Linked DNA regions of Mus musculus. The protein of the gene in region 2 purifies or fractionates together with the protein of the main gene of each other region. This does not show direct contact. Links are inferred from orthologs where the notes say so. Each region holds a gene or a part of one and is shown on either strand. Other genes may lie near its edges. The genes, in order: Pold1, Pold3 and Sprtn.

Evidence for each region.
Region 1: the proteins of Pold3 (region 2) and Pold1 purify together in Homo sapiens (co-immunoprecipitation; 8 studies listed by BioGRID and IntAct, with this or other methods). This does not show direct contact. The link is inferred for Mus musculus from reciprocal best matches to the Homo sapiens genes POLD3 and POLD1.
Region 3: the proteins of Pold3 (region 2) and Sprtn purify together in Homo sapiens (affinity purification with mass spectrometry; 3 studies listed by BioGRID, with this or other methods). This does not show direct contact. The link is inferred for Mus musculus from reciprocal best matches to the Homo sapiens genes POLD3 and SPRTN.

What each region holds. Positions count from the first base shown.
Region 1 is NC_000073.6:44,532,217-44,535,646, reverse strand, and holds the end of Pold1 (DNA polymerase delta catalytic subunit), read left to right. Parts: intron 1-454; coding exon 455-630; intron 631-930; coding exon 931-1,083; intron 1,084-1,159; coding exon 1,160-1,262; intron 1,263-1,629; coding exon 1,630-1,762; intron 1,763-1,849; coding exon 1,850-1,963; intron 1,964-2,221; coding exon 2,222-2,274; intron 2,275-2,345; coding exon 2,346-2,443; intron 2,444-2,752; coding exon 2,753-2,858; 3' UTR 2,859-2,903; downstream 2,904-3,430. UniProt on the Homo sapiens protein: As the catalytic component of the trimeric (Pol-delta3 complex) and tetrameric DNA polymerase delta complexes (Pol-delta4 complex), plays a crucial role in high fidelity genome replication, including in lagging strand synthesis, and repair.
Region 2 is NC_000073.6:100,111,464-100,115,107, reverse strand, and holds part of Pold3 (DNA polymerase delta subunit 3), read left to right. Parts: intron 1-2,735; coding exon 2,736-2,838; intron 2,839-3,644. UniProt on the Homo sapiens protein: Accessory component of both the DNA polymerase delta complex and the DNA polymerase zeta complex.
Region 3 is NC_000074.6:124,896,319-124,900,703, reverse strand, and holds the start of Sprtn (sprT-like domain-containing protein Spartan), read right to left. Parts: upstream 2,811-4,385; 5' UTR 2,547-2,810; coding exon 2,323-2,546; exon of another isoform or gene 2,091-2,322; intron 1,629-2,090; coding exon 1,529-1,628; intron 498-1,528; coding exon 369-497; intron 1-368. Other genes in the region: Exoc8 (exocyst complex component 8), read left to right, coding at 3,078-4,385. UniProt on the Homo sapiens protein: DNA-dependent metalloendopeptidase that mediates the proteolytic cleavage of covalent DNA-protein cross-links (DPCs) during DNA synthesis, thereby playing a key role in maintaining genomic integrity.

The DNA.
Region 1 (3,430 bases), about 56 Mb from region 2:
TTAGTGATGGTCTCCTATGACAGTACAGTAGTGTGGGGGTCCCCAGGCTGGGAGTCTTGCAGTGTTCTGGGTTGTAGCTGAGGCCCCTGTTGTGCAAACCAGTGGTACATTTTGGATCTGTCTGCATGTACGTGGCTCCAGTTCTCGCCAGAAGCTCAAACATGACACCCCTGGCTTCTCATCCAGGGTTATCTCAGCTCAGGGCTCACTTGGTCCTGTCTCTTCCCATGGCTGCAAGACTTTACAGTGTCACCTGTCTGGATTTCATAATTTCGGGGCCAGCCTTAGGCCTATGGCATTATGTCAAGTGGGTTTCTGGGGTGCTGGAGAGTGCTGGGCCTTCTTGGGATTCATTCCTTGCCTGTTGTGTTTCCTGGTCTCGGGATTCGGGGCGGAGGAATGTGCACAGGCCATGGAGGAATGTGCACAGGCTCCGCCCATGGGTCCTTTGCAGGTTTACTTCCCATACCTGCTCATCAGCAAGAAGCGCTATGCTGGCCTGCTCTTCTCCTCCCGCTCTGATGCCCATGACAAAATGGACTGCAAGGGCCTGGAGGCTGTGCGCAGGGACAACTGTCCCCTGGTGGCCAACCTCGTTACATCCTCTCTGCGCCGGATCCTCGTGGACCGGTGTGTGTGTGTGTGTGTGTGTGTGTGTGTGTGTGTCTGTGTCTGTCCCACCTAGGCCAAGAAGTCAGCCTCCTGCAGACCCAGGGGCCTCTCATACCTTGGGAACCCAGGTGGCTCAGGGGTGGGGCGGTGGTAAATCAGGCTGGCAGCTGTGACTGCCTGTGGCCTTTCCCGCCTCTGCACTTAACCCCAACCCCAGTGTCAGCCCAGAGTGCAAGATGCCTAGATCCTAGCTGGTAAAAGTTGCATCCCCATCCCGTAGTGCCTGTGGACATCCTCCCTCCCCCCTCTCTCTCTCAGGGACCCTGATGGGGCAGTAGCCCATGCCAAGGACGTCATCTCGGACCTGCTGTGCAACCGCATAGACATCTCCCAGCTGGTCATCACCAAAGAGTTGACCCGCGCAGCAGCAGACTATGCTGGCAAGCAGGCTCACGTGGAGCTGGCTGAGAGGTGGGCAGCCACACAGCTTCCTGCAGCTGGCTCCACTCCACCCTCCCCAAACCTCATCCAACCCCCTTATCCGCAGGATGAGGAAGCGCGACCCCGGCAGTGCGCCCAGCCTGGGTGACCGAGTCCCCTATGTGATCATTGGTGCTGCTAAGGGTGTGGCCGCCTACATGAAGTCGGAGGTCAGGCCCACCTGGGCTGGGCCCCTCCCAGAATTTCACTTCTGCTTTCCTGGGGCGGCCATGCCCCTGGGCCATACTTAGTGTAGTGCCTCCCTGGGCAGAGTTGGCTGCTGCGCCCTCCCCACCTGGGTTGCCAACTCTATTTGTCTTTGTCATCTCCAAGCCTGGATGCTTCTGACCCCTGCACCCTATCCATGGCCCTTCTCCCATGGGGAAACTAACTCTTGGCGATCTGAGGGTCCCCACCCAGACCCGAGTCACAGTTCCAGGCCCACCCCTTTATCAGAGCCTGCAGATACAGTGTGTAGCTCTCTAGCCCCTAGCCCATGCCCCTCTGCAGCCATTGGTGACCCTGGCCTGCCCACAGGACCCCCTGTTTGTGCTGGAGCACAGCCTGCCCATCGACACTCAGTACTACCTGGAGCAGCAGCTGGCCAAGCCGCTCTTGCGCATCTTTGAGCCCATCCTGGGTGAGGGCCGTGCAGAGTCTGTGCTGCTGCGTAAGTGGACCGCCCAGGAGGGAGTGTGAGCGGGGAAAGGGGCCGAGGCGGAGGCAGGGACAAGGCCATTCAGCTTCCCTCCTCTAGGCGGTGACCACACACGATGCAAGACTGTGCTCACCAGCAAGGTGGGCGGCCTCTTGGCCTTCACCAAGCGCCGCAACTGTTGCATTGGCTGCCGCTCCGTAATCGACCATCAAGGTGAGACCGAGTTACAGCCCTTATACCCACTGGTCGGGCCCTGCCACAGGACTCCATTCTGCCTGCACTCCAGCGGAGGGTCCTCGCCTGCCCCGGGGTTCCCCAGGGGAGTTTTCCCCACACACTTGGGCCCTTGTTCTCTTGCCTCTGGGGACTTTCAGAAGCCGGGATGGGCAGCGGGTGGAGAAGAGATGCAGGGATGGAGACTAGAACCTGGCTTGGTCCCAATACCTCTGTGCTCACCCACCCCACCCCCAGGAGCCGTGTGTAAGTTCTGTCAGCCACGGGAGTCGGAGCTCTATCAGAAGGAGGTGAGTGAGGCAGGGAGGGAGCTGGAGCACGCCTGATCCGAACAGCCCTGCTCAAGCCACTGTGTCCCCAGGTGTCACACCTGAATGCCTTGGAAGAACGGTTCTCTCGCCTCTGGACACAGTGTCAACGCTGCCAGGGCAGCTTGCATGAGGACGTCATCTGTACCAGGTGTGCCCTCCCCCCTCCTGCCATCAGACTCCTGACCCAGCTGTGGGACCTCACTGCAGAATGGGCAGGGTCTGCCTGGGCTTGGTCTCTGCCTAGCCTCCCCCGGGGTGGGGCCGGGCTTTCCCCAGGGAACAGGCGGGCGGGGCGGGTTCCCACGCCAGGTGACAGCTGATATACAGCTGTCTACCTCTAGGGGTACTGCTGTTATCGGCTTCCCTATGCCCGATAAGCAAACAGCCCCCTCCCCTGGGTGGGCAGCAGGAAGGGGTCAAAGTCCTGGGAACAGCCCCTGACCACCATCCTCCGCAGCCGTGACTGTCCCATCTTCTACATGCGCAAGAAGGTGCGCAAGGACCTGGAAGACCAGGAACGGCTGCTGCAGCGCTTTGGACCGCCCGGCCCTGAGGCCTGGTGACCTGACACGGGACAAGGAATAAAGTTCAGATCTTTTGCTACTGGCTGTGTGTTGTGGTCTTTGGGAACAGGTTGGGTTTCATGGTGTAGACTCTGTACAACCCTCTGGAGCCCCAGTGTGCCTGCCTGTGTCCACACAGGACTGACATCTCTGTTTTCCCTCTGAAACCCAGCATGGGACCCTACTACTCTGTTTTGCCCCTCCCCAGGGGACTGGTGGCCACCCAGCTGGCATTAGGTGCTGTCCAGGCCTGGGGCAGCCCCTAGCACACCTCAGGGCAACATGGGACCCTCCCTGTCACGGCACAGCCATGGAGTAGCTCCCACCAGAGGGTCCTGGTGGTCTGTCTCCCCGGGCTTCCCCTCAGCTCTTGGGAGATTCCCTGTCCTCATACTGTGTCTGGGCTTCATGTTCCCTGCCATCCTGTCCTGGTCACCATTGGTCCCTCTGACATCCTGTCCCCAGGGCCTGCAAATCTTTTGTCTCACTCCCCTTTCTCAGCAATTCTCTCCATGTCAGCCTTCCATCCCCAATGGTGGGGATCCCCAAATCCAGATGGCTCCTAGGCCCAC
Region 2 (3,644 bases):
TTAATCCCAGCACTCGGTAGGCAGAGGCAAATGGATCTCTGGGTTCTGAGGCCAGCCTGGTCTAATGAGTGAGTGTCAGGACAGCCAGGGCTACACAGAGAAACCTTTTCTTGAGAAAACAAAACAAATTCTTGTTTTTAGTTCTTTTTTTAAAGTATTATTTAACAGACAAGATCCTTCCTCATTGACTTAAACATGACATCTTCAGATTGGAAAAATATTATGGAGGACTAAAATTGGTTTGGTTCCAGGGGAGCTAAAGGAGAGGAAAGTTAAGGGTCTCGGGGAGGTTGTAAGTCATCATGTGCATAGGAAACATTCTGCAGCATGTCAAGGCTTTTCACTCATTTTAAAGAATATTTCACATATATTATTGTCAGAAATGGAGTACTTGCCTTTACTAAATAAGAAACGTGTTAAAGTAGGTATAAATTCCTTTTTAAAAAAGTTTGTTGTAAACTTCTCAGTAAGAAGGGAAATAGATTAAAAAGAAAACAAAACAAAAACAAGTGAGAAGAGAAACTAATATGGGAACAGCTGGGGTTTATTTGGGGAAACCTGTGCAGAAGACAGTGGTTTGCTGACTGACCCAGGCAAGGTCAAGAGCTGTGGAGAAAAGACTAGTTGGCTGACACGCTTGAGAGCATGGTAGACATGGTATTTGCCTTTTTGGTTTTCTATTAGCAGGTCCTAATTAGCATCAACAGTCAAGAGTCCACCCCCTCATCTGCCCTTCTAACGTGGTCTCTGAAGTGGGGAAGATGTGAGAGAGCAAGGCGGAAGAATCCGTAAAACTGACAAATAGTGCACGCTTTGTACTTACGTAACTGGTGGTGTATGGAAAGGCAGCCTTAAAAACCTGTGATAGAGTGTGGTGTAGTAGATGTCAGAATGCATGATAGGGCGTAAGCTGTTAACACTCGGGAGGCAGAGGTGCTCTGCTTGGCTAGCCGTGTCAGAGAGACTTGGAGTAGGAGGAATTAGATGGATGGAACCTATATAGCCCTGCCTGGCCTGGAATTCCCTATGTAAGCCAGGCTGGCCTCAGACTCCCTCCCTAGGATTAAAGGGAGGCAGACAGATGGCTGTGATTCAAGTTCCTACCAATTTTAAGCTTACGCTCTAGGAAAGAAATGGCTGGTCCAGATGGGTAGGAGCCGTGACTCCTTTGTTTACTGCTTAGAACACAAGTGGGCACTCAGGAACGTTTTGATTCGTTTTTTTAATCTATTGACTTTTTTTTTTTTTTTTTTTTTTTACTGACTTGCATTTTAAAACTTCACTATGACAGCCTCACAGATAATGATGGTGAAAAGAGAATACAGGTGACCCTTGGACTTGAAATAGTCTAGTATAGCGTGTTGGAGAGCATAGAGTCCAGTCAAGAGTTAGTTGGGAGGGAGGACTGATGAGACTTGGCAACTCATTGCATAAGGAGAAAGGTAATGACTCCTGGATTTCTGGCTAAGGTGGTTTGAACAAATGATGATGTCATCAGGGAAAAAAAACCGAAGCCATGGAGTTGAATAAAATAGACAATGGAGGATACCACGGGGTGACCAACCATATCCCATTTCCCAGGAAACCTATCTGAGTCAGGCAAACTGGGGTGACTGGTCATACTAAAATAGGGTAAGATGGCTAAGGAGAGGAAAGCACAGAAACTGCAGGAAAAATGGAGCAGGTGTAGCAGGGGACTCGGCTGGGTATCGTGGAAGGTAAGCGAGGGAGGGCGTCTGGAGAAGACAGGGTTTCTTAGGCTTACTGGAGTAAGCCTGGTACTTACTGTGTAGACCAGGCTGGACTTGAACTCACAGAAATCCACCTGCCTCTTCCTCTAGGATAATTAAAGGCCTGTACCACCATACCTAGCTATCAGAATTTCTGAGTTTCTGGCTGTTCTCAACTGAAGTGTGATATGTTGTAGAAGCTTGCTAAATATTTCTTGAAATAAAGACAGATGATGTGCATCTTTTTATTGTTAAACTCCATTGAGGGGCATCAACTTCTGGTATTTTGGGTGGTTGGGATAAAAGTGAATAAAGACTTTACTGCAAGCAACACTTCTGCATTTAGTGTGTGGTTAATGAACATTTTAGATGTTGGCTGGTGTAAGCATCTGCTATATTCTACATCATGAAACATCTGACTGTATGTAATTCAGTAGTAACAGGTGAATATATATTTGTCATGATGTATATGATGACTTGAAGTATTTAACATAATGATCTCATAGAATTACTAAAAACCCCAAATCCTTTCCATCTCTAGGAAAGCACATATAGACTATTGATATTTGAGAATAGAGGCTTGCAGACAGTGTATGACTTCGGGTTATAAGAGTTATTCATGTAGTAATGCCACTTGTGCTTTATGCCTGAAGATAGGAAACCAAGAAAAGTTTATTCTGGATGCCATAGCTCGATAATTGACTCACTTTTGTATCTGCAGTTTGGCCATTGCCACTGTTTGACTATGGGTTCTGTCCCTCTTGGCATATTTCTAGATTTACCTCAGTTACTTCCTGGGTGTCTTAGCCAACTCAGATAAGTTGGTTCCAGTCCCATGCTCCATCTAAAGTTTTTTCATTGTTTTTTCAAAAATCTGTTCAGTAAGTAAAAAATTGTGCTGTTGAAGAAACTGTCAGATTTCATATATATGACTTCCAAGTCATGAATCCGGAGTCGATGAGGAAGCTGCATGCTAATGAGTCACTTCTGTCTTGTTTGGCACAGGATGCTCTATGAATATGTTGAAAGGAAACGGAAAGAAAATTCGGGAGCTCAGCTGCATGTTACCTACTTGGTGTCTGGCAGTCTTATACAGAACGGACATTCTGTAAGTTCTCTTGTAACAAGACTTCATGTTCATGAGATAGAAACATTATTAGAAATAACAGGAGGAAGAAGGAAGAGTGAATGGTATGGAAGTTTTAAAGTACCTCTTAAAGAGAGTGAGTGTTCTGAAATTTTAAACTAAATCTGACAAGAAAGGTTATGTAATATCTTGTCTGTGATGAGGAGACTGTCACTCTTAGTTACCTAGGAAATGAGACATTAGGGAATGGCTTTTCCTTGAACCTCTTTTTCCTTTTGAATACGTATTGTAGACACTGGTACTTAATTTTCATCTTCAAATTTCAAGTCAGATTCCAATGTTAAATAAAAAAGGAGGGAAAAAAATTAGGTGATTTGTAACCTGAGTACTCGTTTTGATAGGTCACTTGGAGTGGCCTGTTGTAAGGCCGAGGCTTAGCTGCTGGTACAGACAGGTGTTTAGGCTCCTGCATTCTTTTCTGTTCTTGCCCCTCTGCATGCCCGCCAGCTCAGGGTACTGTTGCTTTTTTCATCTCAACCACAACGCAGTCTCAGTCCCAGTCTCAGCGCTGGTGCTCTTTTGTTGACTTCCATTGTTTCCCTCGCGGTGGGGAACAGGTATTACTGAGCTCTTCCCAGGCCTTAAGCACCAGAAGCTCTGTTGCCTTGGACTGAATCCAGGGCTCGTTCATAGTTCTTGCACACCGGCTTCCTGTGCAGGTCTTCTCCGTCCTCACTTTCCTTGAGCCTGTCTGAAGACACCTCTGTTTCATTGCCATCAGTCCCAGGATCAGGGCTCCTCGTGGAGGTCTACTAAGATGCCTTTTT
Region 3 (4,385 bases), on a different chromosome or scaffold from region 2:
TCTCCTCCAACATTGTCACTGTCGGGACGATGAGGGAGAATTTAGGATGAGCTGGAGCTGCCCCTGAAGGTCAGAGGAGGATAATGTATGCCTGAGATGCTGACCTGCAGTTAATGGAAGCCCCAGCAAAGAGGCTTGCTGGCTCCTTAGCCACTCCACCTAGAGCCTAGATGATAGGGCTTTTGCTCAAGGCTAAAAATATCCGTTTCTACCTAGTTCACTTTTACTGAATGGCTACTGGGTTTGGTAGCACATACCCATAATCCCACCACTTGGGCTGAGTTAGAATTGTGAGTTTGAGGCCAGACTGGGCTAGACAGTAAAACCCTGATCTTGCTTGCTCCCCACACCTGTGTGGCTCAGTATACCGTTATGTTGGCTCCTGTCAGTTGGTTGATTCGATGCATATGTTTACAGAACTCTGGGCCGTGTCCTTCCCGGTCTTTATCATTATTAGTGACAAATAAGTAGGCATGTATCATTTCATGCAAAAGAGTCTGAAACAGAAAACCAGCGTATTAATTTTCTAGGGCATGTCTAAAGATAAAAGGAATTCTCTTTCTTTTTTTTTTTGGTCTTTTGAGACAGGGTTTCTCTGTGTAGCCCTGGCTATCCTGGAACTCACTCTGTAGACCAGGCTGGCCTTGAACTCAGAAATCCGCCTGCCTCTGCCTCCCAAGTGCTGGGATTAAAGGTTTCTGCCACCACGCCCGGCATGAATTCTCTTTCTTAACCTGCAGTCCTATCCTTCTGCAGACCCAAGTACAAACCTTTACATATAATATTCCAAGCTCTGCAGAACCCAGTCAACAATCCCCTTCACAGAATTAACATTTTTCACAAAGGCCCATTTAACTTAACCAACCCAAACCCAAAAGGTCAGTGAATCCAACCACACAAAACTTTAAAATCCTGATAGTGAAAACTCTACAATCCAGACTCCAGGTGCCGAACCGGAAATGCCAACACTGAAAGAGCCGACAGCCTGGTGCGTACCCGTGATGGCAAATCTCAAGATGGAGGCAGAAAGCTCAGGCGTTTGAGATCAGCTCACCATCAACCCCTCTAAAAATAGCTGGGTATGGGCATGACAGCTCACTGGGGAAGCTGAAGCAAGAGAAGCATAAAGACCAGGGCCAACCTAAGGAACAGAGACTCTTGTCTCTTAAAATCAACAAAATAACCTGGCCAGGAATGGTGGTGCACAGCTGTAAACCCTTGGGTAGAGGCAAGAGGATCTTGTGGTTGAAGCCAGTATGGGCTGCTATCAAGAACCCATCTCTAGCCGGGTGGTGGTGGCACACGCCCTTAATCCCAGCACTTGGGAGGCAGAGGCAGGCGGATTTCTGAGTTCGAGGCCAGCCCAGTCTACAGAGTGAGTTCCAGGACAGCCAGGACTACACAGAGAAACCCTGTCTCGAAAAACAAACAAACAAACAAACAAAGAACCCATCTCTTAAAAATAAATAAATAAATAAATAAATCCTGCAAATCAACTTGTTGAGAATCAGGCTTATGCAAAGAATACCTCTACAAGGTCCTTTCTTGGTCTCAGTTTTAACAGGGGCTCACTGAGACGGATGGAGCACATGCCTCCTCTCCCTTCATAGGTGCAGATCCCAGCACACCTGGAAAACAGTCACAACAATGGATTAGGGTCAACGAATACAGAGGAGACAGAACAAAAAGCAAACCTTAGTCTGGCATGGTGGTGCAGGCCTTTAATCCCAGCACGTGGAAGGCAGATGCAGGAGGATCTCCGAGTTCCAGGCCAGCCTGGTCTACAGAGTATGTTCCAGGACAGCCACAGATACATAGTGAGGCCCTCTCCCCTCTCCCCACAAAAAAGGGGGTGGGGGTGGGCAGCAAATCCCTAACAGTTCTTGGGCAAGAACTGTTTCACAAGAAAACGTCCCTGATGGGAGGATGGCTTTCCTGAGTGGGTCACTTGGCTTCAGAGAGTTAACACTTGCTAACCCTCACCCACTGTCACCCTCTCCCCTCCGCACAGGCATACATGGGCACTTCTCCCAAAACAGTCACAGGGCTGGTATGAGGTTAGAAGTACACTACGTCTTAGCCTGCTTTACCTCAAGCTGCTATGTGACAGTGTATGTGCGGGGCAGATTACTATCTCGAATAGGATTTCTCAAACTCTGATAAGGGATCCGGCTGGTTCATCACTGAGGGACGTTGGGCCCGGGACTGGGGAGTGGGCACGTTTCCCGGCGACCTCTCCCTGCGCCGCGAGGCGGGGACACCAACGACAATTTAGCGGCCTGGCCCTTCCCGACGTTCCGAGCCGTTCGCGGACGCACTCACAGGGTCATGCGCACACTCCACTTCACCTCCACCGCCTCCAGCTGACCCCAGAAGAAGCGATCGTTAAACTGCAGGAAGAGCGCCTGCAGGTCTGGGGTGGGGTCCACCAGCTCCCAGGACGCGTCCACCAACGACACGGGCTCCCGCGCCGCCGCCGCGCGCCGCGCCATCTGCACGTCCCACTCCTCCTGCAGCCGCAACGCGACCACCAGATCCTCGTCCATCCCGCTACTCCCACCTCGGCCGCTCCCAAGACGCCGGTCGGGCTCGTGCGGCGCACGGATCTCGCGAGGCCTCCCGGCCCTGCTGTCAGGGCGCGCGGGCTAGCCTCGAACGCCTAACCGAAGGTGGCTCGGCGCTGCCCCGCGGGCACAGGCTTAGGAACGCTGGGCTCGGGCTGGGGACGGCTTTAGGCAGCCGGTTGTCTCCTGACAGCCGCTGAGGTCCGGCGACACACGTCAAGTCTGGTCCGTGCCGGACCCTCCTCTGACTTCCGTGCTGGCTCGTCCGCGCACGCGCCTTAAGACGCTGCCGTTTCCGCGCAGGCGCATTGTCCGCACTCCGCCCCGGGCGCAGGCGCAGTGCGAGCGGCTCGACTCTGGCACAGGCGCAATGCAGCGCTCGGCTCCGGCGCAGGCGTTTGGGTGTTGCTCCCGCCCCGCTTCCTCCGCTGCCTTCTCCACCGGGCTCGGGTGGGGCCCGGAGGCGGCGAGTAACAGCCACTGCGGGCCGCGGGAGCAAGACGAGTGGCAGCCATGTCGGACAGCGGGGCGAGCCGCCTGCGGAGGCAGCTGGAGTCGGGGGGCTTCGAGGCGCGGCTGTACGTGAAGCAACTGTCGCAGCAGTCGGACGGCGACCGCGACCTGCAGGAGCACCGGCAGCGGGTGCAGGCGCTGGCAGAGGAGACGGCACAGAACCTGAAGCGCAACGTCTACCAGAACTACCGGCAGTTCATCGAGACGGCGCGGGAGATCTCCTACCTGGAGAGCGAAATGTACCAGCTGAGCCACCTGCTGACTGAGCAGAAGAGCAGCCTGGAGAGCATCCCGCTGGCACTGCTGCCCGCCGCCGCCGCGGGCGCCTCTGCGGGTGAGGACACGGCCGGCGCGGGGCCGCGGGAGCGCGGGGCGGTCCAGGCGGGCTTCCTGCCCGGGCCGGCGGGCGTCCCTCGAGAGGGTTCCGGGACGGGCGAGGAGGGCAAGCAGCGAACGCTCACCACGCTGCTGGAGAAGGTGGAGGGCTGCAGGGACCTGTTGGAGACGCCAGGTCAGTACCTGGTGTACAACGGGGACCTGGTGGAATACGATGCGGACCACATGGCCCAGCTGCAGCGCGTGCACGGCTTCCTCATGAACGACTGTCTGCTGGTGGCCACCTGGCTGCCACAACGGCGAGGCATGTACCGCTACAACGCACTCTACCCGCTGGACCGCCTGGCGGTGGTCAACGTCAAAGACAATCCGCCCATGAAAGACATGTTCAAGCTTCTCATGTTCCCCGAGAGCCGAATCTTCCAGGCGGAAAATGCCAAGATCAAGCGCGAGTGGCTGGAAGTGCTGGAGGAAACCAAGAGGGCCCTCAGCGACAAGAGGAGGCGGGAGCAGGAGGAGGCAGCAGCCCCGCGTGCGCCACCACCGGTCACTTCCAAGGGCAGCAACCCGTTTGAGGACGAGGATGATGAAGAACTGGCCACCCCTGAGGCGGAGGAGGAAAAGGTTGACCTTTCCATGGAGTGGATCCAAGAGCTGCCGGAAGACTTGGATGTTTGTATTGCACAGAGGGACTTTGAGGGTGCCGTGGACTTGCTGGACAAATTAAATCACTACCTGGAAGATAAGCCCAGCCCACCTCCTGTGAAAGAGCTGAGGGCCAAAGTGGACGAACGAGTGCGACAGCTCACCGAGGTGCTTGTGTTTGAGCTCTCCCCGGATCGCTCTCTGAGAGGCGGCCCCAAGGCTACTCGGAGAGCCGTGTCTCAGCTGATCCGGCTGGGCCAGTGCACGAAGGCTTGCGAGCTGTTTCTGAGGAACAGGGCCGCAGCCGTGCACACTGCCATCCGCCAG